Linked DNA regions of Cricetulus griseus. The protein of the gene in region 6 purifies or fractionates together with the protein of the main gene of each other region. This does not show direct contact. Links are inferred from orthologs where the notes say so. Each region holds a gene or a part of one and is shown on either strand. Other genes may lie near its edges. The genes, in order: Ddx21, Lyar, Srsf6, Srsf1, nucleophosmin and Rrp1b.

Region 1 (4,350 bases), about 14 Mb from region 6:
TTCCCTCTATCCTTCCAATGCTATCTCTCACACCATCCCTTCTCCATACTCTAATCTCAAGTATTTCTGGTCACGTTCATACCATTGTTCATATTATATATACGAATTGTCTTTCAAGTATAATACGTATCACTATTTTCAAACACAAGTTATCTAACCCATATTTAAGATGCTTTCCGCCAAGGTCCTAAAGACTGTCTTTGCCTTCAGAATGTAGTATGTGCTGAATTCGAGTTAGAAAATCACCTTACCGCTTTCTGTTCCACTTGTGCTAATTGGTATTCATCCTTGTGCTGATAAAAGCAGATGCAAACCCCTGTCCTTCCAGCTCTGCCTGTCCGCCCCGAACGGTGAATGTAGGACTCCACATCCTATGAAAACCAAGCACAGGAGTGATATAACTAAGATTAAGGAGTGTGTGCAGGTCAGTGAATGAAACTATGAGCTTCAAAACCTCTCAAACAGTGCTCACTAGCCTGTGTGCAAATATTCCAAGGGTATGTGTATTTCCAAGCTTCAAGTGACTATAATAAAAGTATTAAAATTTGTTTTAATAACAGTTTATTTAACTCTATACATTCAAGTATTTTTTTAAAAATTTGTTAATAAGGTAGATTGTTTCTATTTACAACAAAAAGACATGGGACCAGCCTAAATGTCCAACAGACTAATGGATAAGGAAAATGTATATGGACATAATGAATTTTACCATATCACAAAAAATTCAATGATAAATTTTGCAGTCAATTGGAAAGAACCAACTTGGAAGACAAACACTGAATATTCTTTCTTATATGCAGAGAGTAACTTCTTTATCTATCTATCTATCTATCTATCTATCTATCTATCTATCTATCTATCCATCATCCACCCACCCACACCGACCTATCCAAACTGTGTGTAGAATTCAGAAAATCAGAAATGGCCCCCAAGAGGAAAAAAGGATTTATTCACTGAAAGGAGTGGGGAGGCTGCTAGAACACATGATTATGAGGGTGGAGGTGGGGGGAGCACTGAGGGCGGGAAGCAGAGATGGGGCAGACATCTAAACAAAATCCCTGAGTCATACATAAACGGTAACAACAGGTTAGCATACTCTCTTCTGCAAGCCTTCAAAATCCAAAGTACATAATAAAAATCCAAGCAAGGTAGCAAATGTTTGCCCCGAAATTCTCTATATAGAACTCAAAAGCTATCAAACAGAATTCTGGAATGAAAGGTGTATGTCACCAAGACTGACAAACAATGTACTGAAAACTACATAAAAGTCAAGCCAATGAAGCAACTTTTGGTACCCCAAAAAAAACAAAAGCAATGTTTTATTCCTGTTTAGGGAAAAACACACACACAAAAAAACCTTACCTTTGGTGGACAGCTTTGAACAACCAAGTCAACCTCAGGGATGTCTAAGCCACGTGCAGCAACATTGGTTGCAACCAAAACCCCGAAACTGCCATTTCGGAAACCTTTCAGGGTGATTTCTCTTTGCTTCTGTGGAATGTCACCATGTAATGACTGGGCATCCTGCCAAAGACATAAACTGACCTAAGAATACAAACCCAACACAGCACCCTCCAAGAGGCCCAAGAGCTAAGTCTGGATTCTCCTTCTGGAAGTAATACAAAGTGAAAAACTGATGCCTTCTTACTCGGGAAAATCTTCAAACTGTCTGCAGCCCTCAGCCTGATGTCAACTGTTTATAACTACACTCTTCAAGGTTGGAAATACCACCCAAGAGTTAAGTGATGTACATGTAGCTTTACATCGAACCAGGACTGATTTATTACATACACCCTGACCATTAGAGAAGCTTCCCCTAATTGAACACAACTGGGAAGTCACCGGGTGACTGAAAACAGAATGAAAGCAAACATGTCCAAGGTGGACATGAGAAGGACCAACCTGCTTTATGCATGTATTCTGTGACAGCTCCTGGGCTTCTCTCTTGGTTTCACAAAAGATGATAGTACGCCCTTGATGACCACTGTACACTCTGATCACATCCCCAATAACGGCTGCCCTCTCACTCCAGTGACACTTAATGGCCAAGTGCTTTGAAGAGAAGAAACGGGATTTAGAAAAGTCTGGCTGGGATCTCCCAGCTCCCTTCTCAACTTAAGTCTAATGCCGTGGAACAAGAAGTAAATGCAGGCCTTACAGGGCTGTCTGCTGCCACCACTGCTTAGAGGGAAAGAAGGAAGCTAAATAAACAAAAGTAAAGAGCAACGTGGTCTGTCCCCAGGCCTCTTTCTCCAAAGAGCATCTGGAGTCTTTACGTTCTAATGCAATCAGGAAACACTATTTCCCAGGCTCCTGCAGGAAACCAAATAACTGACAAGAAAGGCCTGTGTGTGCTATGCCCCTTCATCCACTTAAAAAACATACTGCTCTTGGGTGAAATGATGATGAGTCAGATTGCTCTGCTGCCCTCTAGAGGCTAAATTCTAAATGTAATCACTTTATCTAATTCAAACATAAGGTTTCAAGTTAACTCTAAATCAGGCTACTAGATGGTGAAATCCAGAAAGCAGATACCATACATAAAAGAGAAAGATGCATTTTACTTGGCTCTTCTTAAGGGATTACTTAGTATTCACCTAAAAAAAAAGAGCTTGTATTTTAGCTAGTCTTAAAACTATCAGACAGGAAACAAAATGCTCAGCAATTTAATACTACTACTTCCGGCAACTAAATGAATCATTACCTCCACAGTTATGGCTGCTTTCTGAGTCTTTTTACCAATCAGGTCCACCTGTTCGTATGTAGATTTCATGTATTTCTTAGCAACATTAAACACCCAATGAGGGCAAGTTGCAGAGAAAAGCAATGTTTGGGGGTTGTCTTCAGAATCTTGGGGGAAAAAGAAGTCAGCGTGAATAATCCAAACAAACCTGCAAACACAGTACTCCACCTCACCTGGCATCTCCAGACCACACCACCATCACCACCAACCACTGGTGACCAGCCAGCCTATACATCAAAGACACTATTAAAGATGCTAACACCTCCCAATACACAAAACCTGAAATAATTTGTCATCGTAAAGGATCTCTAAATGATCAAAGTACATGAAATCAATCTATTTTGTTTTCTAGCCTTTGCCATCCATCCCTTACCCACACAGGAAATCTGTCCCATGAAGGAGGCTCAACAACTGAATAAGCAATCCTGAAGTCCAGGTACCCAACAGCATGGATCTCTAATTAAACAGCCTCTGACAAAACCCACAGCAGCTTAGTATTTTAAGAATCCAGAATCAGAGGTTGGAGAGATGGCTCAGGTTAGGAGCACTGGCTGCTCTTCCAAAAGTCCTGAGTCAAATTCCCAGCAACCACATGGTAGCTCACAACCATTTGTAATGAGATTTGGCACCCACTTCTAGCATGCAGGCATACATTAACAGGCAGTACAATATATAAATAATAAATAAATCTTAAAAAAGAATCCAGAATCCAGGGCTGGGGTGCAATCCAGTGACAAAGCCTTCAGCTCAATCCTAAGTATCCCCAACAGACAAAGGCAATGCATCAATGTATCTGATCATCTGGGCTTAGCAGCACTATGGTGTTGTTCTCAGGAGCACCAAAGGGCACAAGCTGGTAGAAGCAGTTCAGTGCCCTGTACAACTGGATCAGTTAGCTCTACTTATGGAGGGAGACTTGCATCACAGAACCAATTCCAAGTACTACAGAGCTCCAGCCGCTTAAATCCTCTGTAAGCAGAATCCTCTATATGAAATAAAGGTGAAAAGTGGAAGATGGAAGAATAAATCATGCCCAATCACCTGACAAGGTTTGAATATTTAACGGTTGATTTATGATTAGTACACACACACCCGAAATACACTGAAAGCTGTTTGAACAGTGAGTGTATCAAGCTGGCAGAAAAAGAAAATTTTCTTCTCCCAAGCTTTCACCAATTATAGAACGCGTGCTGGCTTTAAAATTTTCAAGTCTTTGCCGAATGTTGGTGCACAACTTTAATCCCAGCACTTGGGAGGCAGAGGCAGGCAGATCTCAGTGAGTTCAAGGACAGCCTCGTCTACAAATCGAGTTCCAGAACAATGAGGGCTACATAGAGAAACCCTTGAAAAACAAAAATAAAAAACAAAACAAAACAAACAAACAAACAAAAAACAAACTAAGCTTCCTTGAGTAAGTGCCCTATTTATCTCCTGGAAGACAATTTCACTACACCCTACCTTAGGTTCCTTCTATCAGTCCCTAAATTTGAGGCTTACCTTTCTTGTATGCCACACATAAGATTTCTTCGACTTGATCGGCAAAACCCATATCCAACATCTGGTCAACTTCATCCAGGACAACATGTTTAAGTTTGGTGAGATCTAGC
Region 2 (4,350 bases), on a different chromosome or scaffold from region 6:
CATGGAGGCTCTCTGGAAATGCCATCTCAACCACCATACACAGCACCCCATTCCATTATTCCCAGTTGTCTATCAGACTGTAATTGCAAGGCAGAGTGGACTCACACTGCTGGACGCTTCAGAGAAGATGTTCCACACCTGCTCCAGAATAGCATCACTGTGCACTTTCAGGCTGTTCCTCATCCAGTTCTGTAGATATAAAGAGAAAGCCGTTGTCGCCTCTGACAGGTCACTGATGGGCCACACCTCAATTTGGGAACAGCATTTAAATCCATACCTGAAATTTTGCCTTTTTTCTGGGAACATTGTCAAAAGCACTGATTTGCTGCAAAAGTTCTCCAACCTTAGGGCTGACATTGGGTTTCTTTATTAATTCATTAATTTTCTATTTAAAAAAAGAAGAAGAAAATGAACTGACATATTGGCTTGGCCAAAGGGCTCTCACCTTCAAAGCCAAGATTCTATATTTACATCTATGCATAATGACAAATACTCTCCTATTCCACACAGCACTGATGCCCTGGCCAAAGCCTTCCTAACAGAAGGAACAAAATCAGGTCAAATATTCACAGGCAGCATTTGAAGGAATATGGTCTTGCTTGCAGAAAGCTCTAGAGGGGGCAACCAGTTAGAATTAACAACTCATTCAGCAGAGCTGCAGAATACACAATTCTTAAAAAGCAAGCTGCATTTTTACACACCAACAAAAACAATTCAAATGTGAACACTGGGAGAATTTCATTTGCAATACAATATTAAGATGTCAACCTGAAAGCCATAGCAAAGTCCAGTTGTACATGTCAACTAATTCACATGGAACCCTGAGGCACTCCAAACACAATAGCAATCTTGAAATAAGTTGTTTTTTTGTTTTGTTTTGTTTTTTAATTGGAAACTTACTACAAAGCTACAATGATCCAAAGAGTGTGGTACTACTGCCACAAAGACCACTGGAAAATGCAGGAACAAGCCCCTGAGGATATGGTTAAAGGGTTTTTGACAAGGATATCAAGCCTAGTCCAGCTTGAAATGGACTCCTTTTCAACAAATGGTACCAGGAATAGTGGATCCTAACATGGAAATTAAATTGGACCTCATGTTACATAAAAAATAGCCCCAAATGTATCAAAGAACTTCAAAATATCTAATCTGGTAATGATTTCTTACACATGACACCAGATAGACAATATTGAGGGCCAGCAGGATGGCTCAATGGGGTGCTGTGAAAGGTGTTTTTGTGGAGGTTAGAGGACAACTTGTATCAATCACTTCTCTGGTAGTAGGTGAGTCCTTGAGGACTAAACTCAAGTTCTCAGACTTGGTGGCCAGCACCTGCATCCTAGCTGAGCCACCCTGCCAGCACTATCACATCTTAAAGATTTCAGCAGCTTCTCAACTGGGTAGCCACTGTTAAGTCCTTCATGAGGGTCGTGCCAGGATTATGCACCGTCAAGAGAGCCAACACCCCAAGTTTACACTCACACTCTGGCACTCAATGGGGGAACTAATTTGATTTTCAAGAAAATGCAGTCTCCACAAAGGTGCTATGTTATCTGTACAGCAATCTCCCCTTCTTTCAAAATGGAGCTCACTGCTTTTGTAAATATTTTCATTGTATTTAACTAGAAAATTCCTTACATTTCTGAAACTTTTAACTTTGTTCAGATGTGTTCAGATGGTTTAAACTCTATGGTTCAGTTTCATTTTACAGCCAAAAGAAAGTTAGCAGGAACCCACGAATATGCTGAGCACAATTTATAAAACACAGAAGCCAAAGATAAACAAACCACAATTTTATCTTTCTCAAGATGTTCTCACACTTGTGCTCCACCCCAAGGTATGCTGTCTCTGGGACTTGTCTGCACAGGTGGCACTTATAGAAGTGTGGGATGAGTGACAGGCTGGACAGAAACACTTACCTGAATCCATGCCTGCTGCTTTGCATCACCTTTATGTGTCTTGGCTTCATAGTCTTTGCCTCCATACTTCTGATTTTCACTGATGCACTTCACGTGGCTTTTATAGTCATCACCCCTGCAGAGGGAACCACGTCTTATCACTAGACTGACAACGTGCTAATGGCTCTCAAAGAGTACACTGCTTACTCTTTGTGATTTTCCATACTTGGCCAACTGCACAAACAGCCTAATTATTCTGCTTTTTTGTTGATTTCTTCAGAGCAATGAGATCTGACAGAACCACAACAAAGTGCCACCTCCCCGCCCTGTAACGCCCAGAAAGTCCCTTATTCTGAGTGCTCACTTCCTTGCATTGGATAATAAAGGAAGCAAAATTCTAGCCAGGGTTCTGAATGATTAAATTTTCTCTAAAAACTTTTTTGGGGGGGTGGTGGTGCTGGGAATTGAACCTAGGGCCTCATGCATACCAGACAAGAGCTCTGCCACTAAACTATAAACTATATGTTCCTGAAACTGTGTGTGTACTAAGTTACTAGCCCCAAATTCTCTAACCAACAGGATCCTGTCCCTTTGGTCTTCAATTTAACAAGTCCTTAAAATGAAATGGCACTCCCTGGAGAATCACACCAAGTTTAGTCAACAGACACTAAGGTTTCTTTTTTGTTCTCTGTCCTCAGTTTGCTCCTCTATCTTCCCAAGCTTTGTGGGGTCTGGACTTCTATACCTGGATCTAAGTATCAGAACTTACCAGAAATCTTTCCCACAGTCAATGCAAGAAAGACATTCACAGTTTCTGCAGACAGATACGTGCTTTTCCACCTGTATTTTCTTCACTGATTCACCACATGCATTGCATGTAAAAAATACCATTTTTGGTTAAATGACTAAATATTCTACCTGAGACAGGTTTGAACTCTTGCCCTAAAAACAAAACAAGATAAAGATATTATAATAAGCAGAAACTTCTTCCAATACATGAATTCCACAATAAAAGAGCATTATCAGAAGAACCAGCTGAGTGCTCAGCACAAGCCAGGAATTATACTCAGGAGCTAATGTATTGAGCCCTTGCAATGAGCTTACTGGGGAAGGATGTCATGGGTCAAGGTTTCTAAGAGGCCACAGTGGCATAAACTTGCCCAGGAGAGCATAAAAAGCTTTAAGCCTGGCAGATTAGCAGCATAGATAAAGCTTTCACTAATGATTTCAAGCACTCCCCCTTATATAAAATGTACAAAATCAAAGTGTTAACAAGCACCACAGTGCAGGTGTGCAGTGCATACTGTAACTGTGACTACAACACCAACAAAGCAAAGGGGCAAGCAGCAGAGTTTAGCAAGTGGAGAAGCTAAAGAACAATTCCACTGAAGACTAAAAATGATTCCTACATGCTCAATGATGGAATTACAAATGTTAACATGAAGACATCCCCTTGGCCTCAGTGGACAGGGACAAATGAACTCATTCTATTAGGGTCTGTGTACATCAGGCAGGAAGAAAGAAAAGGAACCAATTATGGTCACCCCCAAACCCAGATGTGCCAGCCTCCTTATGTGCACCCAGTATGGAGGGCATCTACACACACATAGCCAGTTCACATTGCATGCATGCTACTGTACTCTGCAAACAGATCCCTAAAGTGTTACAATTGCCACAGTAACTTTCCATGCTTACATAGCCTTTTATAATCACTGGTCTTTAAAAGAGCAGTGATGTTCTTACTAAAATGGGCTTTGTTCAGCCCAAATACCGAGAGCTGCCTAGTCCAGCACCCATTTCCTCAGTATGAAATGAAGGTTAGGACCAAGACACACAGGACTTGCTTCTCTGCTTCCTGTGAGAACTCCTTACCACTGAGATTTTACAGTAAATTCTCAAGCATGAACTCCATTCCAACCCCCCACCCCACCCCTTGCAGTGCTGGTGAGGTCATACCAAAGCAACATCAGGACTGTTTTCTTCCATTGAGCTCTAAATGGAAATGTCCATCCTGGTATACAAAGATCCCTCTGCCTCGTGGTGTACTGTTGGACACTGGTTCATTTTATATGCTAGACACAAATCAGAGGTCCTTGACACTAATGTCTTGTGCCTCCCTCCTTAGCTTGGAACAGAGCTGATTAGCGAGGGAAGGCATGTGGACAGCTACTGCCTGGCACCAAAGGCGGAATGAGGCAGATAACAAGTATTGTTGCCTGGTTTTTGTAGAGACATGTGAAAAAGTCAGAGCTCAGGGAATCTGGGGTCATGTTTAATGCTTACCACAGCCTGGTTTCTGAGATGTTTACTATCACTTTGTACAAGGCAGATGGAGGTAAATAAACCCAGGCAGCAAAGGCAGCAGTTCTGTCACCTAAGTGAGAAAACTTGGGAACAAAAGCTGACTTCTCTGGACCTTGTCTGGACATTCCTACACATTTAAATAAGAACA
Region 3 (4,858 bases), on a different chromosome or scaffold from region 6:
TTTGAAACAGTTAATTTAAAAATAAGCAAACAAAACAGAACCCTGCAGCAGATTCTGCTGCAATATTAAAAAAAAAAAATCTAAATGAGCTTAATCTTTACAAAAGTTATTTTAGGCTCAAAGGCTACAAAATCAAAATTATCTTAATTCTACAAAGAAGGGAGAGGGGTTCATACCACCATTTTAGAACCTCATCTTTTTCTCATTAAATTTGGCCACAAATTAAACTCCTGTGTTCCCTTTCCAGGAAATCCTCTTGAAGAAGAGGCCAAGTACAAACTTGGAAGAGTAACTGCCTAAGCAAGTAGGACAGTGTCCCATTATAGTGTGCAAAGAACGCAGAGTTCAGGGTTAATCTCTGGAACTTGATCTGGACCTTGAACGAGATCTAGAACGGGACCTGGAAGCTCTTTTTGGCGGAGGGGACACAGAACGAGCCTTTGAAGGTGGAGCAGGCAGGGGTGAATGGGATCGAGACTGGCTCCGGGATCTGGATTTGGACTTTATATCTCCTTTTCCATTTTCTTTGGGGGACCGAGAACGTGACCTACTTCGGGACTTCCCATACTCATCCTTAGATCTGCTTCTTGAGTGTGAATGGGAACCCCGATCAGACTTGGGCTTAGATTTGCTCTTTGATCTGGATTTCCTGCCTTTTGAGCGGGATCGGGATCGACCTTTGCTCCGCGACCTAGATCTGTGTAAGAAAAGCCAGATTTCTTTCAGTATCTTGTCAGAAATCACATGTACTCCATCAACAGGTAAAATTAAGAAAGACCCACTACCACATTATTTACCGGGAGCGACTTTTTGAGATACTTCGAGATCTACTGCGGCTGCTCCTGCGACTCCTACTCCGTGACCTTCTTCTAGACCGTGATCTACACACAAGAGACAGTGACGTTTGAATCTCTAGAAAGAATGGGTTTGTACTACTCAGCTTTGGCTGAAGTATCTGCTTACTACAACCAAGAAACTCCGTAAGTTCAATTAAGCAACAACTGAAAACTACAAGCCATCCCAGTCCCTCATGTTACCTGGATCTACTTCCAGAGTAAGAGCGCCTATGGCTTGTTCGTGGTTTATCTTCAATAAGCCTAATATTTCTGCCATTTATTTCTGTGCCATCTAGTTTATCCAAAGCACGCTTCATGTCAGAGTAGGATCTAAATTCAATTACACCCTCATTTGTTCGTTCTTTATGAGCATCTGCATAAGTCACTTCTCCTGCTTGCCGCATGAAATCCTAAAATAATAAGACTGGTCAGTCCCAGAAATCTAGAGCATGTCTGTGCAGCACCAACTCTTAAGGAAATGACCACCCACTGTCATTTAAGGCCCAGGCACATACCTTTAAGTCTTGCCAACTGCACCGACTAGACAGATTTTCTACAATAAGCCTGTATTCTGTACGAACAGGTGGTCCATATTTGTCTCTGCCAGAAGTTCTCCGACTGCTGTATCCACCTCCACCACCTTTATCACACGGAGGGAATAATTAGATGCATTGCAATGACAGGGATGCATGTTTTTGAAAGTTAGTACAAACATAGCAACGTTTATTACTGGAGTAGGACTTTGCTATTATACTGCTAAACCCTCGATACATTTGTGATTTGCCACAAATTAAATTAAGGGCAAGTCAAATAGACTAAATCCAACTAACCCTCTCCTACAATCTGTTAGAGAGTGACTGCTCCTTTAGTCAATTTACCTCGCTAAGTTTTATTTTACAGAACATTGTAAAATATAAAACTTAACTGATTACATGCATTTCTACATTTTACAAAAATGTTTACTAGTTACACTAAGTACTTACATCACAGTGTGAGGTTTTTGGTGGTGGTTTGGCCACAAAACACGCAAGGTAACAGTCACCTAGTTCAGATTAACCAGTTTTGTCTAACCCTTGGAATCCTCACCATCACCCTGCGTCTAATGGCAAAAGGCTGCTGTCGTCATGGCTTCCGGTAAGGTCAGCCAAAGGGTCATAGGGCAAGGGTCACACAATGTATGGAAAAGCCAAGGCCAATCAGGAAAGGCAGTCATCTTAGCCTCAGTGGACACAGCCTCAGCCCCATTGGTCACTTTTAAATTGAAACATCAAGGACTTGTTAAAAAGTTTGAATTCAACATGCAACAATTTCAACATTAAACATTTCACATAACCAAAATCCCCCCAACCCCCTCCCAGTAACATGCCCCAAACCAGTTCAAATATAGCATAAAGCTAATTTAGATTTACGTTGTGGTAGTCTACCACATTTAGTTAGTTTTAAATGGCATTCTCTTTGGCCCTCGCCAAGTCTCCCCTCACCTAAGGCTTAAGCTCCAAGCTCCTCCCCTTTCCCCGCCCCCTGCCCCACCTCCACCCCAGCTTTCCTAGAAACTTCCTCGACGCTAGCTAAAGCACTGACAGAAAAAGCAAGGGGGAAATGGTACAAATACAGGCAACCCCCGCTTTCAACGTGGGCAGAGCCCAACACCAGTGCCAACGAGGGCCAACTGAAGCCACCCCTTCCAAACTCAGCCAACCAACCAGCCAGCCACCCGACCAACCCAATCCCCGCGCTCCGGTGTCCTATGGCTCCCCGAGCATGCGTGGAGGCAGAGGGGGCCCGGGAACACCCAGGGCCAACGACCCCCGGCCTCCGCGCCTGCCCGGGTCAGGGAGGTCCCGCCCTGCGCCCCCCTCCCCCGTGACCGCCCCCGCCCGGTACCCAGGACGCGGAGCGCGCGGGGGGGGAAGAACTCACTGCGGCTTCCGTAGCTGTAGCCATCGCGGTCGCGGCGCGGGCCCCGGGCGTGCTCTACGATCACGCGCTCGCCACACAGCTCCTTGCTGTTTAGCTCGTAAACGGCGTCGTCGGCGTCGCGGGAGTCCTCGAACTCCACGAAACCGTACCTGAGGAGGGGCGGAGCGCGGGCCGCGCACCGGCGGGCGTGTCGTTAGCCGGCGCTGCGCGCTCCCGCCACCTCCCCGCGCGCGCTCGGCGCCGCCGCCGCCATCTTGGAGGCCCTGCCACGCGGCGCCGCGGCCTCGGTCGACTCGGTCCTTGGGGGCTCCCTCCGCCACGGGGCGCGGACCCCCAGACCCGACTCACCCATTTTTGAGGTCGATCTCGAGGAGGCGGCCGTAGCCGCTGAAAAAGCGCTGGATGTCCTTCTCGCGGACGTTGTAGCTCAGGCGTCCTATGTAGACGCGCGGCATGGCCGTGGCGGGTGGGGTCCCGGAGGCTAGCTGAGGTGCGGCGGGCCGCGGGGCACGGCTGCGGTGCGGGTGCGGGGACGGCGAAGGCCCGAACACGCGCCTCACACCGCAGCTGCGGCCGAGTCAGCCACACAATGGTGCGCGCGCGCGCCGGCCTACGCTATAAGCGTCCGGGGCGGGGCGGGGCGGGGCGCGGCGCGTGACGTCGGCGCGCAGCACGTCCTCTCCCGCGCCGCGGCGGGCGGGCGGGCTCCCGGGCGACGGGCTTCTTGGGGGACCGCGGTCTCGCGGCCGCGATGTTCCCCGGCGCTCGGCACCCATCTCCGTACCCAGTCCAGCCGGGAGCGGGCCCTTTGACGGGTGCCTTGTCGTCAACCGCTCTCGTGCCCAAGCACGCGGAGAACGGTCCCTAGTTCTCACTGGTTCTCAGGGCTGTCCGTCAAGGCCGTTCCGGTCCCTGATTGGTGTACTGGGAAAAGAGGTTGCGCTCTCCCTTTAGCGGTTGGCTCGCGCTGGTTTCGGTGGGAACGTGCTCTCGGACTCAGTTTTCTCTGCCGCCCCATCTCTGGCCGGGAGGTCGTAGTGACCCGCCGCGGGGAAGGTGCGGTGGCGAGTCTTGAGTCTCGGTGACACCCTTCACCCCGCTCCGAATGCTGACAGCTCTGAATCCCGCGCTCACCGCGGCTGCTCACAAAGGGAGCGTGGCAAGACCCCACGCACCACCAGGCGGGTGACCCGGCGGTCCCCCAAGAACACCGAGCTCCTTTCCTACCCATGCTGTCCTTAACCCTGTTGACTAGGAAGGCACGGTGTTTATGTGGCAGAAATGCACACTTAGGAGTTTGTAGAGGTGACATCTAACGCTGTAGAGCTAGATAAACAAGACACCCCCCCACCCCCTCCGGAGTAAATTAACTTAAGTACCGCAAAAGAAAGGCTGGTTGCAGAGGTTAGGAAACTGAAAGCATAGGGTGGTGTGGTGGAAGCTGGGAGAAAAGGCTGTCACCGAGTCACTCACTACCTGCTCTTCAGGAATTTGTTTTCTGCTCTCCCAACAGGTCTTTTCAGCTAAGGTGGGAAGGAGCGATTCTGTCCTCTAGGGGCAGACAGGCAATGTTGATTGTAACGAACCGGGAGATGAGTTTGTACTAGTATCTAGTGGGGGAGAAATCGTCCTTAAAGTTAGAAATATAAAAAATGCGGGTAGACAGCTTTTTAAAAAATATTCATGGAACTAGTTAGAACGAATTCAACAAATAACATTTTTCTCTTTATCAAATTGTCAGTTTCTTTTGTCATCATCATCATTTGGTTTTTCGAGACAGGGTTTCTGTTTAGCCTTGGCTGTCCTGGAACTTGCTCTGTAGACCACGTTGGCCTCAAACTCACAGAGATGCCCCTGACTCTGCCTCCCAAGTGCTGGGATTAAAGGTGTACATCACCAGCGCCCGGCCAAATTATTTGTGGGCTGGTGAGATGAGCGAATCAGGTAAAGGCGCTTACTGCCAAGCCTGAAGACCTTCAAGAGATCTATATCGTAGGAGGAAAAAGCCAACTCCCAATAAATAAATAACAACAGCACATTAAAATTCACTATTTGTAGCCGGGCGTTGGTGGCACACGCCTTTAATCCCAGCACTCAGGAGG
Region 4 (5,127 bases), on a different chromosome or scaffold from region 6:
AGGCTGGCTTCAAACTCACAGAGATCCGCCTGCCTCTGCCTCCTGAGTGCTGGGACTAAAGGCATGTGCCACTAACCCCCCCCCTTGTTGTTTTTTGAAGCAGCATCTCATTATGTAACCCCCCCCAGATTCACCATGAGCTCATTGTCTTCTTCATTAACCTCCTGAGGGCTGGGATTACAGATATGGGCTACCATGCCTTGCTATAAAATTCATTTCAACTAGCTTTTATGACTAACAAAACCCTGCCCTTTCCTGAACTATTGATTTGTATTTCAAAGTCATTTAAAATTTTGAATATACTGTGTTCCTTGCAGTTGATCTCTCCAGGGATCCAACAGCCTCTCACTTCAGGCATTTATCACCTCAGCCCCTCCCCCACTCTCATTGACCTTCATTTCTTTAGCCTGTCTTAATATTTAATGCTTTCATTTTAAGCAGCCTTACATCCTTGGAATGTTCTAAGTCAATGAGAATGTAAAGGGGCAGCAGAATGGCTCATCCAGTAAAGGTGCTTTTCAAAACCCTGACAGTTTCATATCTTGGGCTCACACGGTTGGGGGTGGGGTGAACTGACTCTCATGGGTACGCCATGGCACCAGTCACCACTCCAATGCATAATATGCACAAAATAGAAATTTAAAGACTGCTGGGTGGTGGCGGCGGCGGCGGCACATGTCTTTAATCCCAGCACTCAGAAGGCCGAGGCAGGCAGATCTTTGTGAGTTCATGGCCAGCCTGGTCTACAGATCAAGTTCCAGGACAGCCAGAGCTACACAGAAAAACCCTGTCTTGAAAAACAAAACAAAAAGAAAGGAAATTAAAAACTAAAAGTAATAGTGCAGAAAACACCCTTAAAATCGGTGGGGGTCTGATTTAGCTCATTTATTTTGAGTCAGGGTCTCTGTAGCTCTGGCTGGCCTTGAACTAAAAGGTTCTGTTTACCACAATGATGGGATTTAAAGGCGTGCCACCACCTCTGGCTATTGTTTGTTTGTTTGAGGTAGGGTTTCTGGCTTTGAAGGCTGTCCTGGAACTAGCTCGTGTAGACCAGGCTGGTCTCGAACTCAGAGATCCGCCTGCCCCTGCCTCCCAAGTGCTGGGATTAAAGGCATGCGCTTGCCTCTTCTGGCTATTTTATGTTTACTTTGAATATGAAAGGCTCTGGTTTTAGCCTGAAGAGGGCGGTCGATGTCTTTAATCCCCCAGCACCCAGGAGGCAGAGGCAGGTGGATCTGAAATCCAGGCCAGCCTGGTCTAAGGAGTGAGATCCAAGACAGTCAGGGAAAGATAGAGAAATCCTGTGTGAAAAATACAAAAATAATAACTACAAAAGGCTTTGGCTTTATTTTTCCCAATTTTTTAATTTAAAGGGTTTCCCGGGGCCGGAGAGATGGCTCAGTGACTTAGGTTCAATTCCAAGCACTCATAACTGTCTGTAATTTCAGTTCCAGGGAACCCAGTACCCATGTCAAAATATCAATGCACAAAAAATAAATTTAAAAAAAAATCTAAAGGGTTTCCCTACATGGCCCCGGCTGATCTAGAACTGTGTATCACAGACTAGCATAGAATCCTCCTGCCTCAGTTTCCGGACTGACGAAATTGAGGCCACAAGTCACCAAGTTCAGCTTGGTTTTGCTTTTATTCCAGTTCGAATTCATTAACAAGACTGAAAACCTGCATGATTTCACACATAAGGCCCTAAATTCCATTCCCGTGATTACAAAGGAGTTAAAAGTCGTAGTATCCAATATAAATATCCTGATTTCAAACAATGTGAGATGCAACCGTTGTCTCTAGTAGTTACAGTCCTCGCATCTATTTTATTATTTTTTTTCTTTCCCCATCCTTTGAAAGGAGGAAGAGAAAAAACTGAAGGCGCGGTTGGTTCGCAGAGGTGTGGAGGGTTCCTAACTGCCTACAAAACGCAGCCCACCAAAAAAACGCAGGTTCGTAGAAGCACAGGACACAGCTCCGCCCACGCTCTTAAACCAATCACCTGCAACTCCGCCGGCTCCGAAGATGCCCAGGTTTCCGGAGCAACAGCTCAGCGTCATCTGGCTCCGCCCCCCGGCGCCTTTCCCGCCAAAGGCCGTTACCGCCGCGGAGCATGGTGGGACACGGTTGTGGGCTGTTGTCACCAAATCCTTTCAAAGCGCCGAGTGGCTTTTAAAAGAGGGTTCTCTCCTGAGGGGAGACATACTATCCTTGACTCAGCCGGGACCAACAACCCCCTTTCACCAGCGTACACCGTTTTCAACCACACGTCTGGCCGCCTCGCTGAACCAGGCGTTCCACCAGCAGCAGGACGCGAGGGACTTTTTCCCCTCCGTGCGGAGGGTGACGTAGCGCGTGCGCGAGCGTGCCTCTCAGCACCCGTTACGCTCGTGCGCGTGCGTACTGGGGACGGAATAGCCGCTTCCTCTGGCTTCCCTTCCTCCCCCTCCCCCCCATATCAGTGCGCCGGGCTGATAAAGGCGCCATTTTGGACGGGCCGCGGGAGACGTGGTGCCGCTGAGGGCTCGCTCTGCCGTACGCTAGGCTTGGTGGGAAGGCCTCTTCTCGAGTCCGCGCTTTTTTTTTTTCCCTCGCCGCCATGTCAGGAGGTGGTGTGATTCGGGGCCCGGCAGGCAACAACGACTGCCGCATCTACGTGGGTAACCTACCTCCAGACATCCGAACCAAGGACATTGAGGACGTGTTTTACAAATACGGCGCTATCCGCGACATCGACCTGAAGAACCGCCGCGGGGGACCGCCCTTCGCCTTCGTTGAGTTCGAGGACCCGCGGTGAGGCAGCGTGGGGCTTGCGGCCTTGAGGAGATAGGCTGGAGTAGTTGGGGGAAGGCTCTGTCTGAGGCCTGGACATAATGGGGGGGGGAGGGAAGGAGGGGCTCCGAGGCTGGGAGCGAGGCGCTATCGCCCCTGCAGGAGTCGAGTAAAGGAGCCGAGTCGGCGTGTTGTCTCCGGTGGCTGGCCGCCTCGGACGTCCCCAGAGCCCATGCGCGGCCCGGGAGCGGGAAACTGAGGCGCCGAGGGCTGGCGTGGTGGTCGGGAGTCCGCCCGGCGTGTTTGTGGGTGGGGGAGGGGCCGCTCCTATTATGCAGCGCATGTGGGCTCCGGCGCCGTGGGTGCGCATGTGCGCCGTCCGCGGCTTCCCGAGTGGCTTGCGTGAGCCCGGCCGGCCGGCCGGCCGGCCGCTGTCCCTGGCCTCATCCCCTTTGCTTTCTGTGATCACGCAGAGACGCGGAAGATGCGGTGTACGGTCGCGACGGCTACGATTACGACGGCTACCGTCTGCGGGTAGAGTTTCCTCGAAGCGGCCGCGGCACCGGCCGAGGCGGCGGCGGGGGTGGAGGCGGCGGAGCTCCGAGAGGCCGCTATGGCCCGCCATCCAGGCGCTCTGAAAACAGAGTGGTTGTCTCTGGTGAGTTGACTCCGTGTGGGGTTTTAAGAAAATCCTTTTCCCGCGAGACTGGTTTGACAACTCCCAAGTTTTGGTGTTTGGTCTTATTTTTTGTTTTGCTTTGCTTTGCTTTTTTTTTTTTTTTTTTCCTTTTTTTTCCTTTTAAACTGCTTCGGTCTTGGGGGTGAATTTAGTAAACGAAGATTACTGTGGCGGTGATTTACCCAAATTAGGTTGCAGTGCTAGCCTATGAAGATCCTTTACAAATAAGTTTGGACTGTGGATCTCAGACTCTTACCAGCTCTTTACCTGGAAACACTTAAGTACAATCATTCAGTATTTTAAAATAATCCTTGTTCTGATGTACGTTGCACCAGTTTGATGTGGAACTGGGTGATTAGCATTAAGTAGGGGGAAATCACTTTTTCAGGACTGCCTCCGAGTGGAAGCTGGCAGGATTTAAAGGATCACATGCGTGAAGCAGGTGATGTATGTTATGCTGATGTTTACCGAGATGGCACTGGTGTCGTGGAGTTTGTACGGAAAGAAGATATGACGTATGCAGTTCGAAAACTGGATAACACTAAGTTTAGATCTCATGAGGTAGGTTATACATTTATTCTTTTATTTGGCCAGAATTGGATACAGTGTTCTTAACAGTGGAATTTGAAGGTAAGGATACAGGCAAAGGTGTCCAAGTAAATTACCAGAGACCTGGTCTGTCTGTCTTTGTATTCATTCAGCATGTCTGAAGACAGGTGAAAGCTTAGATCTTTCAATGGAAAGTTCTGTCTATCCAATAGGGAGAAACTGCCTACATCCGGGTTAAAGTTGATGGGCCCAGAAGTCCAAGTTATGGAAGATCTCGATCTCGAAGCCGTAGTCGTAGCAGAAGCCGTAGCAGAAGCAACAGCAGGAGTCGCAGTTACTCCCCAAGGAGAAGCAGAGGATCACCACGCTATTCTCCCCGTCATAGCAGATCTCGCTCTCGTACATAAGATGATTGGTGACACTTTTTGTAGAACCCATGTTGTATACAGTTTTCCTTTACTCAGTACAATCTTTTCATTTTTTTTAATTCAAGCTGTTTTGTTCAGAATGGGCTAAAGTGTTGAATTGCATTCTTGTGTAATATCCCCTTGCTCCTAACATCTACATTCCCCTCATGTCTTTGGTAAATTGTATTTTAAGTGATGTCATAGACAGGATTGTTTAAATTTAGTTAATTTCCATGCTCTTCAGACTGTGATATTGTGTAAATGTCTATTCTGCTCTGGTTTGTGTGAAATGGGATGTTGGGGGTGTTTGTGGTTATCTTACTTGGGGAAGTTCTTATGTTTATCTTGCTTTTCATGTGTCTTTCTGTAGACATATCTGAAGAGATGGATTAAGAATGCTTTGGATTAAGGATTGTGGAGCACATTTCAATCATTTTAGGATTGTCAAAAGGAGGATTGAGGAGGATCAGATCAATAATGGAGGCAATGGTATGACTCCAAGTGCTATTGTCACAGATGAAATTGGCAGTATTGACCTTATACTAAAAGACAAGGGTTAAAATTTTTATCTACCTTAAGACACTTGCAAACATCTTATGCAGTTATCTTTAGCTACAATTGCTTTCTAAACCTTGGCAATTGTGGCAGAATTGCCCATTTTGTAACAATTATTTGCTCCCTTCTCCCCCCCTTTTTGTTTTAATAGGGACTAATGTGGGA
Region 5 (5,061 bases), on a different chromosome or scaffold from region 6:
ACTTTTAGAAACTATTGGGGCAAATCAATTTTCCTAAAACCCTTCACAGTGCAGTGTGTCAAGTTTCTAAGACCATACAAACTTATACTTACTCTTCATCGTCTTCATCATCTTCATCATCATCATCCTCATCTTCATCGATTTTTACTTTTTTCTTAAAAGAAAAATGTATTTGTGAGAAAGAGTCATTCCTTAGTATTTAACATATTGAAACCAAAAACATTTCCTAAAAAAAAAAATTACCTGTGGAACTTTGCTACCACCTCCAGGAGCAGATCGCTTGCCAGACATACTTAAGAGTTTCACATCCTCCTCATCTTCATCCTCTGACTCTGCATCTTCCTCTACAGCTGAAATAAGATACTCAGGTGTTATCTTTTTATACATTACCAGATTCCTATTTCAGCATAAGACAACTAAGAACTTTTACAAAGTCCATATTGGAGATCTAGGATGATAGCCAATCTAATTACAAGATCTTTGTGGCTAAACCTCAGTATTCAATCCCAAGGACCCAAGTAGTGGCAACAGACGTCTTCTCTAACCTGGCCAAAACACAAATATTAAAAAAAGCCAGTTCCTAATAGAAATACCAGATTTAAAAACCCAAAAACATACCTACTAGATGCTGTCCACTAATGTGCACAGGCCCTGAACCACACCTCAACCGTAACACCACAGGTGGTGTAATTTCAAAGCCACCAAGGGAAACCTAAAAATGAGCAAATTTCAATCATTAAACATTGTTTTAAGAATGTTTTGCACCAAGCATCACCAACAGAGTTATATAATCAATAAACCTATCTAGAAGCCACAGAGATAATCTCACACTAGATATAACTTATTTGAAACATCTTTGCTTATCCTAAATCAGTCTTAGAGACCAACTTTAAAAACAATGTTTACAAATGTACTTACTGTTGGTTGTACGGACATTTTCAATGTTGCCAGCGTTACTTTAATTGGACTGCCTTCATAGTTCATTGCTTCTGCCTCTACGATGTGTAATTCATCTTTTGCCCCTGCCCCTAAACTAACCTGTGAACAAAAAGAAAGATCCTTCAGTACCCAGTTGTTTTATAAACACCCCTTAAATTTTTTAATTAGCCTCTTCTCACTACTGATAACTAGTCCTCTCATATAATTACGAGATGCATAGACACAAAACACTGTATGTTCCTAAGAAAGCCAAACAACCAATAAAATATAGCCAACAGACTTAAAAAGATCACATCCTGCAGAGCCTTACTAGACAACTAATTATAACAGTGACTGTGGAAAAGACACCCAGTTCTTTGTTACCAGTACATATGTGAACTATTTTAAAGTTATAAAAATACTATTTTTCCATCAGTTAAGGAAGCACAAACTGACATAAATCCCCTCACTTAGATCCAAGTGGCTGAAATCTAATGGCTAATTAATTTCAAAGTTTAAGTACCGTTCTTAGTGACAACTGGTGTTCATTCTCATCATTATCCACCTTAAAGTGATAATCTTTGTCAGCTTTTAGTTCACAACCTGTAAAGAAAAAATAAAATAAATCTAGCAAGATGAACATCACAGTCCCAAACGACCATTAACTTCTACTCTTTTAACTTAAAAATGTTCTCTCCGTGGAATCTACTGTATAAGAAAGCCAATAAAAGTTCTACTTTTTCATAGTAACTCACGACCAATTAATGAGGCACCGTTACCATTTTTTCACAGAAAACCCAATGACCTAAAACTGGATTTTTGCATAGTGGCACCATACCATTATCTAGCACTATTTTTAAAAAACCCAACTTACCTACGTTCTAAAGGAAATTACTACAAATCAACAGTGGTTACACATGACCAGTAGGGACAGCTTAAACCCTTCATGCTTAGAGTACATTAAACATGTACTACTCATTCACGTAGGGGAAAGTGCTTTAAACACTCGGAATTTTGAAAAAATTGACTCGAGTCACTGAAAACCAAACTAATAGACTGTAAAACCGATAAGCTGAATGTGCAGTGACAGTGGGGTCCCCAGAAGCCGAGTTACCAAAGTGATCCCTTAATCTGCTAAACGCGGGAGGCACTTCTCTCTCTTCCCCGGCCCAATCAAAAAAAAAAGACCAGTTGTAGGGAAAAGGATAGTTTCGACTTAAGATTTCGTGGCCCTCTCTTAACATCAAGACCCTTCGACCATCAATATCGTCATCGGCAGCGTGGGGCTGACTCCACCTCTTGCAGAGGCACTAAAGGGTCTCTAAAAAAAAGTCACTACCATCACCGTGGATGCTACAAGATCTTAACAAAGACACGGACGCCACGCGCCACTTTACGCGTTTCCCGCCTAGCACTCCTAATTAAACCACAGGACCCGAAGGACCAGGGTTAAGAAGTGAGGAGAGCCCGGATGTAGAGCCCACACCCCCTCCCTACCCCCAACCACGTGGCAACCACGTGTTCCCAGGGGTTGCGGCCCCCTCAGCCGCAGGGAGCTTGGCCGGCCGAGTCCCTGTCAGCGGCGGAACCTCTCGGATGCACGGGGAGGAGGGGCCGAAGCCCCTGTAAAGCCCAGCGGACTGCACTTATACCGTCCCAACGAGGCGGCGCAGGCCGCGCTCCAGAGGCACCATTATCCCGGGACGCGCCTGGGGCCCAGCGCTGAATTTCAGCTGCCTGTTGCCAGGTCCTGAGGCCTTCTTCACGTATGAAGAGAAAGTGTCGTCACAGCCCCTGCTCGCGCCCCAAGCCAAGTTGGCACCCTCGGCCGACCGCCCTCTCAACGCCAGAGGCTCGAGGCTGGGCCGCTGCCGCCCCAAGCTACGGTCCCGCTCAGCGCCCGGGCCTCGGCTTTCTTCGGCTCCCGCGGCCCAGGCGGTTCCTCCCAGCCGTGCAAAGGCCTCCACCCACGCCGCGCTTGGCACACGCCAGGCCTCAACTGGACTCCCGCCGCCCCCCCAACCACCAGGCCCTGCCCAGGCCCTCCCCGCCAGGCAGTTACCGAAAAGGTAGTTCTGTGGCCTAAGAGGGCTCATGTCCATGTCCATCGAGTCTTCCATGAGGTGGAGACGCGCACTTCGGTATGCGAGATATCGGACGGAGGAAACTGCCTACTGCTCCTCAGAACAGACAAGCAGGACGGAATCACGCCAGGGAAAGGACGCGGGCTCGCCGCACGTATATATGGCCGCAGCAAATCTCGCGAGATCTGCCCTAGTCCCGCCTCCGCGAGCGTGCTCCGGATCCCCCACTTCCCGCACTGTCTCGCTCTTGCGCAAGCGCTGTCCTATCCCACGCCTCTCTACCTCCCCTCCCCACCTCTTCCAGGTGCTTGGCGGGCTCGCACTACGCACGCGCGTCCTCCCTCTGGCCCCGCCCCTCCAGCGCGGTTGCCCGAGCGCAGGCGCACTTTCCCTTTGTAACGCGCTCCAGCCCTCCGAAGCTACCACGTTTCGGCTTCTCCACGCGGGCCCTGCGCGGAGAGGCTGCGCAGCCCACCCTAAAAGATGGCGACTGCCGGCCGGGAACCAGCGGGCGACTCCCTTCGCTGTTCTTCGCCCTCCGGTTCTCGGTAGACCTGCAACAGGCATAATCTCAGGATTTGACCTCCTCGAAGGCTTGGTCTTATTTTATCCTTTTCCCATAGAGCTTCAGGAGCCAAAGGCAGGACAGACGGATCATTAGTAGAATGATTCTCTGCTTGCCACTTTGTCAGCCTTTTTTTTTTTTTTTTTTTTTTTTTTTGTGGTTTTTCCACACAGGGTTTCTCTGTAACAGCCCTGGTTGTCCTGGAACTCACAGGCTGGGTTCAAACTCCCAGGGATCCGCCTGTCTCTGCCTCCCGAGTGTTGCGATTAAAGGCATTCGTCACCACCGCCCGGCATCAGCCATACTTTTTATACCTCTTTTCTGAGGCAGCATCTCCAAAGTCTTAAGTTCTCAGCTTTACGTCATTCGAGGGCCAAAGAGCACCTTTCTAAAAGTTTAGAGGTGTGTGCAGAATTGAGAACACGCAGGTCATCCTTATCATTCCAAATGAAGGCATATGACTTCTAAGAAATACAGGAGCCTTGATTAGAATCTTTGGCTGGGAAATAGCATTTTAAACTGCGTCCCGACAAACATCCCTCAACATTGGGTGCGTACTGAGAGCAGCCCTAATCTTTTTATCTCAACATAGCTAGCAAATGAAAAGGTTACTGGGAGGAATGTGAGTAATGGTATTCATGCCCCCAGACTCTTTACTCCAGAGATGGTCCAATTGGGAAGACCAGTTGAGTATAAAACGTATGAGCAGATTATTAACCAAATCCTAAATTTGGGGGGGAAAAAATCAGCCTCAAGATGTGAATGGGGCCCAGTGAATTTCCACTTTACAACTACTAGAGTAAATCCTGAAACTTGGAAGTACTGTCTATGTAAGCAACTGAGATAAACGGGAAAAGGGAAAACCACAAGTGAGCAGTCTGGCCATTCAAAATTCGAAGGCTTCTAGTCTAGGAGGGAGAATGTTCTTAGAGCCAGGGCGGGTCAAAAAACTACTTCATTGTTTCCTAGATTCTGGATCATTTAAACACAGCACATGCAGGGGGTTGGGGAGAGAGAAAAGCCTTTAATCCCAGTACTCAGGAGGCAGAAGCAGGGAGATCTCAAATGTTCAAGGCCAGACTGGTCTACAGAGCGGGTTCTAGGACAACCAGAGCTACACAGAGAAACCCTGTCTCCAAAAACAAACAAAAGAAACACATCTAATGCAGACACTAAACTATTTGGGAGCTATCACTAATGAAAACACACTTGTTGCAACATTTCAGGCACCTTGTCTAAATATAAACTCATGGGATTGAAGGATTAGGAGTTACACAGACTCCCTGTTGGGCAGACCGATAGGGAGAGGGGCTAAGGCGAGATAATAAAGCCATCTCCAAGATGGCCAGCTTTTTCCTTAACCACCTACCTTGAGACAAAAGGCCTTGTAGGCTATTGTCTCCCACCAGCAGGCCTCCTCCTGACAGACAGGCTCAACAAGTTCAAGGCCTGCTCAGGACATCACACAACAGTTCTGGAACAATCAAATGCCCT
Region 6 (5,059 bases):
GCTCTCTAGCTAATTTTCTGAGACAGGTTATCTCATTGAACCTTGAACTCACCAATTTGGCTAGACTGTCTAGTCATCAAGGCTACACAAGGATTTTACCTGGCTTTTATATGGATGCTCAACACCCGAACTCAAGTGCTCCTAGGCATGTGGCAAGCACATTACTGATGGAGCCATGCTACCATTACCTGCAGTTACTTTTACATGCATCTATGTACACCATGTACATCTGTAGTGACTGCAGAGGTCAGAAGAGGGTGTCGGAAGCCCTGGAACTAAAGCTATGGATGGTTAGGAGTCACCACGTAGATGCTGGGAATAGAACCCTGGTTCTCTGCAAGAAAAAACAAGTATTCAAATTTGCTAAGCCATCTTTCCAGTCCTCCCCCCCCCCCATTTTTTTTTTTCTTGAAGATCTTCTATATTCTACAAACTGGCCATGATGACGATTAGGGTAATAAGATAAGCAAATCTGGTGGGGTGGTGCTAAGCAGGAAGGATCTTGGGGTACTGGTGTGAGCCATCTGGCTTCAGGCCCTTGTGACATCTTAGTATTACTGGGCCTGTCCCCAAAGGGGTCTGAGAAGCATGCTCTTTGGCTGTCTGAGGTCCAGATGGTAGTGTTTGCTTGTCTCCTGAAGGTCCTCCTAAGGCTCCATACCAAAGCTTAAAGTGCTGGGGGAAAACATGATAGAAGCCATCAAATTCAGAAACAAAGTATCCTGTACACAGCTGAGGCAGGACCATGGAGGAGTTCAAGGTCATTCTCAGTTACATAGCTAATAGAGACCAATCCTGGCTACAGGAAATCCTGTCTCAAAACAAATAAATAGCACCCCCACCATGTACCTACTACAAAAGGGACACATATTTCATAACTCTAGAGATAACCAGGAGGCCAGGGAGATACTATTGAAAATTTCTTGGAAATGATACTGCTAGGGGAGAAGGGGTAGAATTCTTTGCTAAACAAGCAAGGGATGCAAAAGCATGGAGGTGAGAGAGAATGCTTGGTATCCTCAGCCTACAGGGTTTTATTGACTGCTAATGACTTAGAAAAGCAGGCAAGGACACCATGACTGACAGACTGTGACCTTCAGGGAGATTTGCTTTAGGAAAATGACCTGGGCTGGTTTGTGGAGAGCAGATTAAAGAAGCACAATGGAAGTCCGGCTTGGTGTCACATGCCCTTAATCCCAGAACTCAAGAGGAAGAGGCCCGCAGATCTCTGGGAGTTCGAAGCCAGCCTGGTTTCCAGGACAGCCAGGGCAGATACACAGAGAAACCCTGTGTTGAAAAACAAACAAAAGGCATAATGGAGTAAAGGAGTCAGCTTAGGGAACAGACAGTACAGAAATCTAGGTAAAGAAACCTCTGGTTAAGGCAGAGTAATCCAGGTTGTTGAGAAGGCAGGACAAACAGACAAAGTGTGTGGGTGGGTGTGGAGGATGAAGAAAAGAGTCCATGGCAATGTGGTGTGTCTGTGTGGTGAAAAAAGTAAGTATGAGCCCTAGGGGAGGATTAGCAGGAAAGAGTAGGTATTTTGGGGGAGCAGGAGTGGATCCCATTTTTGACACTGGGACAGCCAGGTTAGTACCAGGCTAGGAGCACTAATCTGAGGGGAGGGTAGCAAAAGTCCACCTGGGCTACCATGTTAGGTTTAGGAACTACCAGCACAAGTATTAAGGAAACTTGTAAACCTGAGAGTAAACCGAATTTCCTGGGGCAATCCTTAACAGAAACATTATGGGGGTGGGGAGGGATTGCAGCTGCCAAGTCGGCTCAGTAGATAATAGCATTTGGTTCATAAGCCTGTCTACCTGAATCTGACCTCTGGATTCCAGGGTGGAACGGCACACATGTAATAATTAAAAAAAAAATTATTTTAGTTTTTATTCCTCTATCAGACTTCCCACAAAAGGTTCTCTCTTCCTTTTTTAGAGATAAGATCTTACTTGTCCTGTGGCCATGTCTGCCTTCAGCCTCCCAAGTGCAGGAATTAATGGTGTGAGCTACCACATGGGGCAGATTTCAATTAAAGAAAACTTTCTTAGATTTGTTTTAGGTGTATGTGCACCACGTGCATGCCTGGTGTCAGCAGAGGTCAGAAGGGGGCGACTCCTCTCCACTGGTTGTGAGCTGCCATGTGGGTACTGGGACTCAAACCGCTGAGCCATTTTTCCAGTTCCCCATATTTCAATTTTAAGCAGATGTCTGGCTGCAACCTGAAACCTCCACAGCACGCTGCAGTCCAGACTCTGGATCGCTTAAGTAAAAATCTTGCAAAGCACTCCACGGCAGTTTAAAATCCAAAGGAGAAAGCCAGTGATCTGGTCACATTGCCTCCAGGCTCAACTTCATCTCAACACGCCCCGCGCGCCAACTTTTGGGTTTCTCTGGCCTAGGGCACCCTTAGCTCTTTCCTGCGTCTGCCTGGCTGGCTTCCTCCTTTCAAAGCCTCACAGTGCACAAGAGGCTTCCTTTGGAGAGACTTTCTCCTGCACTTTTCCACACTACTGGCATAACACACATCCTCCACCGCCACAGGTCCTGCCACCACACTGCCAGAGTTCCTCCGGGGCTGGAACACAGCCTCAACTCTCTCCCGCACACCAGCGCCTGCAGGCGCTGTGCAAGGGAAGCAAACGAGAAACGCAACCGGGCCTCGGCGAGCTGGGCTAGTGCTGAGCTTGGACCCGGAGCTCCCGCCGCAGCAGCCGCACAGCCCGCGGCAGCCGCACCCGCACCCACAGGCGCGACCCTCGCCGAGCGCAGCGACGCGGACCCCGGCCCGCACCTGTGTCGCTCTGCGTCCTCGCGCTGAGATACTGCCGCAGCTTCCTCACTGCGCGGTCGCGGACACCCTTCTCGCTGGAGGCCAGCCGCTGGGCGAACTGGAGCTCGGCCGACTGCATGGCGGGAGCCATCGCGCCCGCTCCAGCATCCCCGGGGGCCGCGCGCGTGCGGCTCGCCCGCCGAGCAGGCTGTATACTGCGCCTGCGCACGGGCCGCGGCGCGCGGGGTGATGGCGTCAGAGGCGCGCCCGCTGTGCCGCGCCCGGCGAGCCCGCGTGGCCGTGGCGCGAGTAGACGCTGCCGCCGCGTCCTGCCTAAGTACGTCCTGGGGGGGCGGTGGGTGGTCCGAGTTCAGTGCGGTTGGCGTCGGGGTTAGCTGGGGTCGGATTTCCTCCAGGAAGACGCCTACGGCTGGATTGACGCGGTCTCGAGTCTAAGCGCAGCTGACAAGGCTGGGTCCGGGGGGGAAACGGCGCTGCAACGGCCCCCGCTCACCCGGTGTCTGCAGAACTCGGCGGGCTCTCCTGGGTGGAAGTGAGACCCAGAGGAAAGGGCGTCATCCAGGCTGCCCGGGTCTGATGACTACCCGGGGCCGCGCTCCCCCGCCTCCACTTCCCCTCAGCGTAATGCCTGGATGCAGGCGCAGCGTTGGTTAGAGCGAATGGTCGCCTCCCGTCGGTGCCCGCGACAGACAGGGGCAGGGGTGGCGAGGAGACCTTGCCGTGTTCTGGGACAGGTGCGGGGCTTGGCGAGGAAGAACAGCCCATCCCTGCAGCATCAAGGGCACATACAGGGGTGTGGCGTGGAGACAGCGATCCATTCCTGGGACAGTTCAGGGGGTATGGAGTGGCAAGAGAGCAAAGCGTCTTGGGGCAATTGCAGGCTTGTTAAATGGGGAGTTGCCAAAATCCAAAGCCAGAGCGTCTGGGTTAGGTGCAGGGATGTCCCCCCTCGCCCCCCCACACACAATAGAGGGGAATGACCTGTCCTGGCAGCAAGCAGGGGGAAGATTTGGGAATCTAACGGGCCCGGAGGGAACTTGACTCTGTCCTTAAGTCATGCAAAACACACAGTTCTGAGCCGTGGTGTCTTGGGGTCTCTATTGCTACAGTGAAACACCATGACTAAAATGCAAGTTGCAGAGGAAAGGGTTTATTTGGCTTACACTTCCATATTATTGTTCATCGAAGGAAGTCAGGACAAGAACTCAAACAAGGCAGGAAACTGGAGGTAGGAGCTGATGTAGAGGGCATGGAAGGGGTGCTGCGTACTGGATTGCTCACCATGGTTTGGCTAGCCTGCAGGACCACCAGTCCAGGGATAGGACCACCCACAATAGGCTGGGTCCTCCCCCATCAATCACTAATTAAGAAAATGCCTTATAGCCCGCTGGTGATGGCAGATGCAGGAGGATCTCTGTGAGTCCGAGGCCAGCCTGCTCTACAGAGTGAGTTCAAGGAGAGCCAGGGCTACACAGAGAAATCCTGTTTTGAAAACAACAACAACAAAATCCCTTACAGGTCTGCCTACAGCCTGATTTTATGGAGACATTTTCTTAATTTCTTATTATTTTTTTAATTTGTTTTTTCAAGACAGGATCTATCTGTGTAGCCCTGGATGTCCTGGAACTTTCTCTGTAGACCAGGCTGGCCTCGAACCTGGAGACCCACCTGCCTCTGCCTCCCAAGTGCTGGGAGACATATTCTTAATTGAGGGTCCCTCCTCTCAGATGACGTTAGCTTGTGTCAAGTGGACATAAAACCACTCAGCACAAGTGGGAACATACTAATCCCACAAGAAACAAGTCTTAACAATTGTGCTAACTTTAGGGACACCAAAGCCCTAGGTTATCAAACATACTCTGTGGATTCATTAGCACGTTGGGGGAATTATTAGATTAGGATATCCTTCCAAACTTTGGTTATTTAATTTGGATTTCCCTCCATGTAGCCCAGGCTAGACTCTCCCTTGCTATGTAGCAAGGCTGGTCTTGAACTCCTTCCACACCCAAGTGCTGGAATTACAGGCGTGTTCCACTACACCCAGATTCAAACTTTGGTTATTGCATACTTCATTTACCTGGCCTTATGGATACGAAAACGTATCCCTCAACACAGAAGCGCTCTGGGCCAAGGGAGGATGTTCTGCGTCGTTTCTCATAAAGAGGGTGTGGATTTGGCTGTAGCATGCTCCCTTTAAACAGGAAAGGACAGATTCTGCTTATTTTGACACCCTGGCCCCATTTTGCAGGTGACGAAATTAAA

Evidence for each region.
Region 1: the proteins of Rrp1b (region 6) and Ddx21 purify together in Homo sapiens (affinity purification with mass spectrometry; 3 studies listed by BioGRID and IntAct, with this or other methods). This does not show direct contact. The link is inferred for Cricetulus griseus from reciprocal best matches to the Homo sapiens genes RRP1B and DDX21.
Region 2: the proteins of Rrp1b (region 6) and Lyar purify together in Homo sapiens (co-immunoprecipitation; 3 studies listed by IntAct, with this or other methods). This does not show direct contact. The link is inferred for Cricetulus griseus from reciprocal best matches to the Homo sapiens genes RRP1B and LYAR.
Region 3: the proteins of Rrp1b (region 6) and Srsf6 purify together in Homo sapiens (affinity purification with mass spectrometry; 3 studies listed by BioGRID and IntAct, with this or other methods). This does not show direct contact. The link is inferred for Cricetulus griseus from reciprocal best matches to the Homo sapiens genes RRP1B and SRSF6.
Region 4: the proteins of Rrp1b (region 6) and Srsf1 purify together in Homo sapiens (co-immunoprecipitation; 3 studies listed by BioGRID and IntAct, with this or other methods). This does not show direct contact. The link is inferred for Cricetulus griseus from reciprocal best matches to the Homo sapiens genes RRP1B and SRSF1.
Region 5: the proteins of Rrp1b (region 6) and nucleophosmin purify together in Homo sapiens (co-immunoprecipitation; 3 studies listed by BioGRID and IntAct, with this or other methods). This does not show direct contact. The link is inferred for Cricetulus griseus from reciprocal best matches to the Homo sapiens genes RRP1B and NPM1.

What each region holds. Positions count from the first base shown.
Region 1 is NW_023276806.1:274,611,868-274,616,217, reverse strand, and holds part of Ddx21 (nucleolar RNA helicase 2), read right to left. Parts: coding exon 4,241-4,350; intron 2,851-4,240; coding exon 2,705-2,850; intron 2,053-2,704; coding exon 1,903-2,052; intron 1,525-1,902; coding exon 1,363-1,524; intron 372-1,362; coding exon 252-371; intron 1-251.
Region 2 is NW_023276807.1:107,175,940-107,180,289, reverse strand, and holds part of Lyar (cell growth-regulating nucleolar protein), read right to left. Parts: intron 4,330-4,350; 5' UTR 4,182-4,329; intron 2,841-4,181; 5' UTR 2,790-2,840; coding exon 2,668-2,789; intron 2,035-2,667; coding exon 1,920-2,034; intron 386-1,919; coding exon 278-385; intron 190-277; coding exon 106-189; intron 1-105. UniProt on the Homo sapiens protein: Plays a role in the maintenance of the appropriate processing of 47S/45S pre-rRNA to 32S/30S pre-rRNAs and their subsequent processing to produce 18S and 28S rRNAs. Also acts at the level of transcription regulation.
Region 3 is NC_048599.1:16,582,015-16,586,872, forward strand, and holds the start of Srsf6 (serine/arginine-rich splicing factor 6), read right to left. Parts: upstream 3,356-4,858; 5' UTR 3,212-3,355; coding exon 3,105-3,211; intron 2,906-3,104; coding exon 2,757-2,905; intron 1,477-2,756; coding exon 1,352-1,476; intron 1,247-1,351; coding exon 1,038-1,246; intron 882-1,037; coding exon 798-881; intron 698-797; coding exon 352-697; 3' UTR 1-351. UniProt on the Homo sapiens protein: Plays a role in constitutive splicing and modulates the selection of alternative splice sites. Plays a role in the alternative splicing of MAPT/Tau exon 10. Binds to alternative exons of TNC pre-mRNA and promotes the expression of alternatively spliced TNC.
Region 4 is NC_048600.1:101,232,576-101,237,702, forward strand, and holds the start of Srsf1 (serine/arginine-rich splicing factor 1), read left to right. Parts: upstream 1-2,130; 5' UTR 2,131-2,599; coding exon 2,600-2,793; intron 2,794-3,245; coding exon 3,246-3,430; intron 3,431-3,839; coding exon 3,840-4,012; intron 4,013-4,212; coding exon 4,213-4,407; 3' UTR 4,408-5,127. UniProt on the Homo sapiens protein: Plays a role in preventing exon skipping, ensuring the accuracy of splicing and regulating alternative splicing.
Region 5 is NC_048600.1:48,346,111-48,351,171, forward strand, and holds the start of nucleophosmin, read right to left. Parts: upstream 3,155-5,061; 5' UTR 3,039-3,154; coding exon 2,981-3,038; intron 1,522-2,980; coding exon 1,442-1,521; intron 1,039-1,441; coding exon 919-1,038; intron 713-918; coding exon 619-712; intron 351-618; coding exon 244-350; intron 155-243; coding exon 93-154; intron 1-92. UniProt on the Homo sapiens protein: Involved in diverse cellular processes such as ribosome biogenesis, centrosome duplication, protein chaperoning, histone assembly, cell proliferation, and regulation of tumor suppressors p53/TP53 and ARF.
Region 6 is NW_023276806.1:260,330,234-260,335,292, reverse strand, and holds the start of Rrp1b (ribosomal RNA processing protein 1 homolog B), read right to left. Parts: upstream 2,992-5,059; 5' UTR 2,928-2,991; coding exon 2,798-2,927; intron 1,258-2,797; exon of another isoform or gene 1,125-1,257; intron 335-1,124; exon of another isoform or gene 211-334; coding exon of another isoform or gene 189-210; intron 1-188. UniProt on the Homo sapiens protein: Positively regulates DNA damage-induced apoptosis by acting as a transcriptional coactivator of proapoptotic target genes of the transcriptional activator E2F1.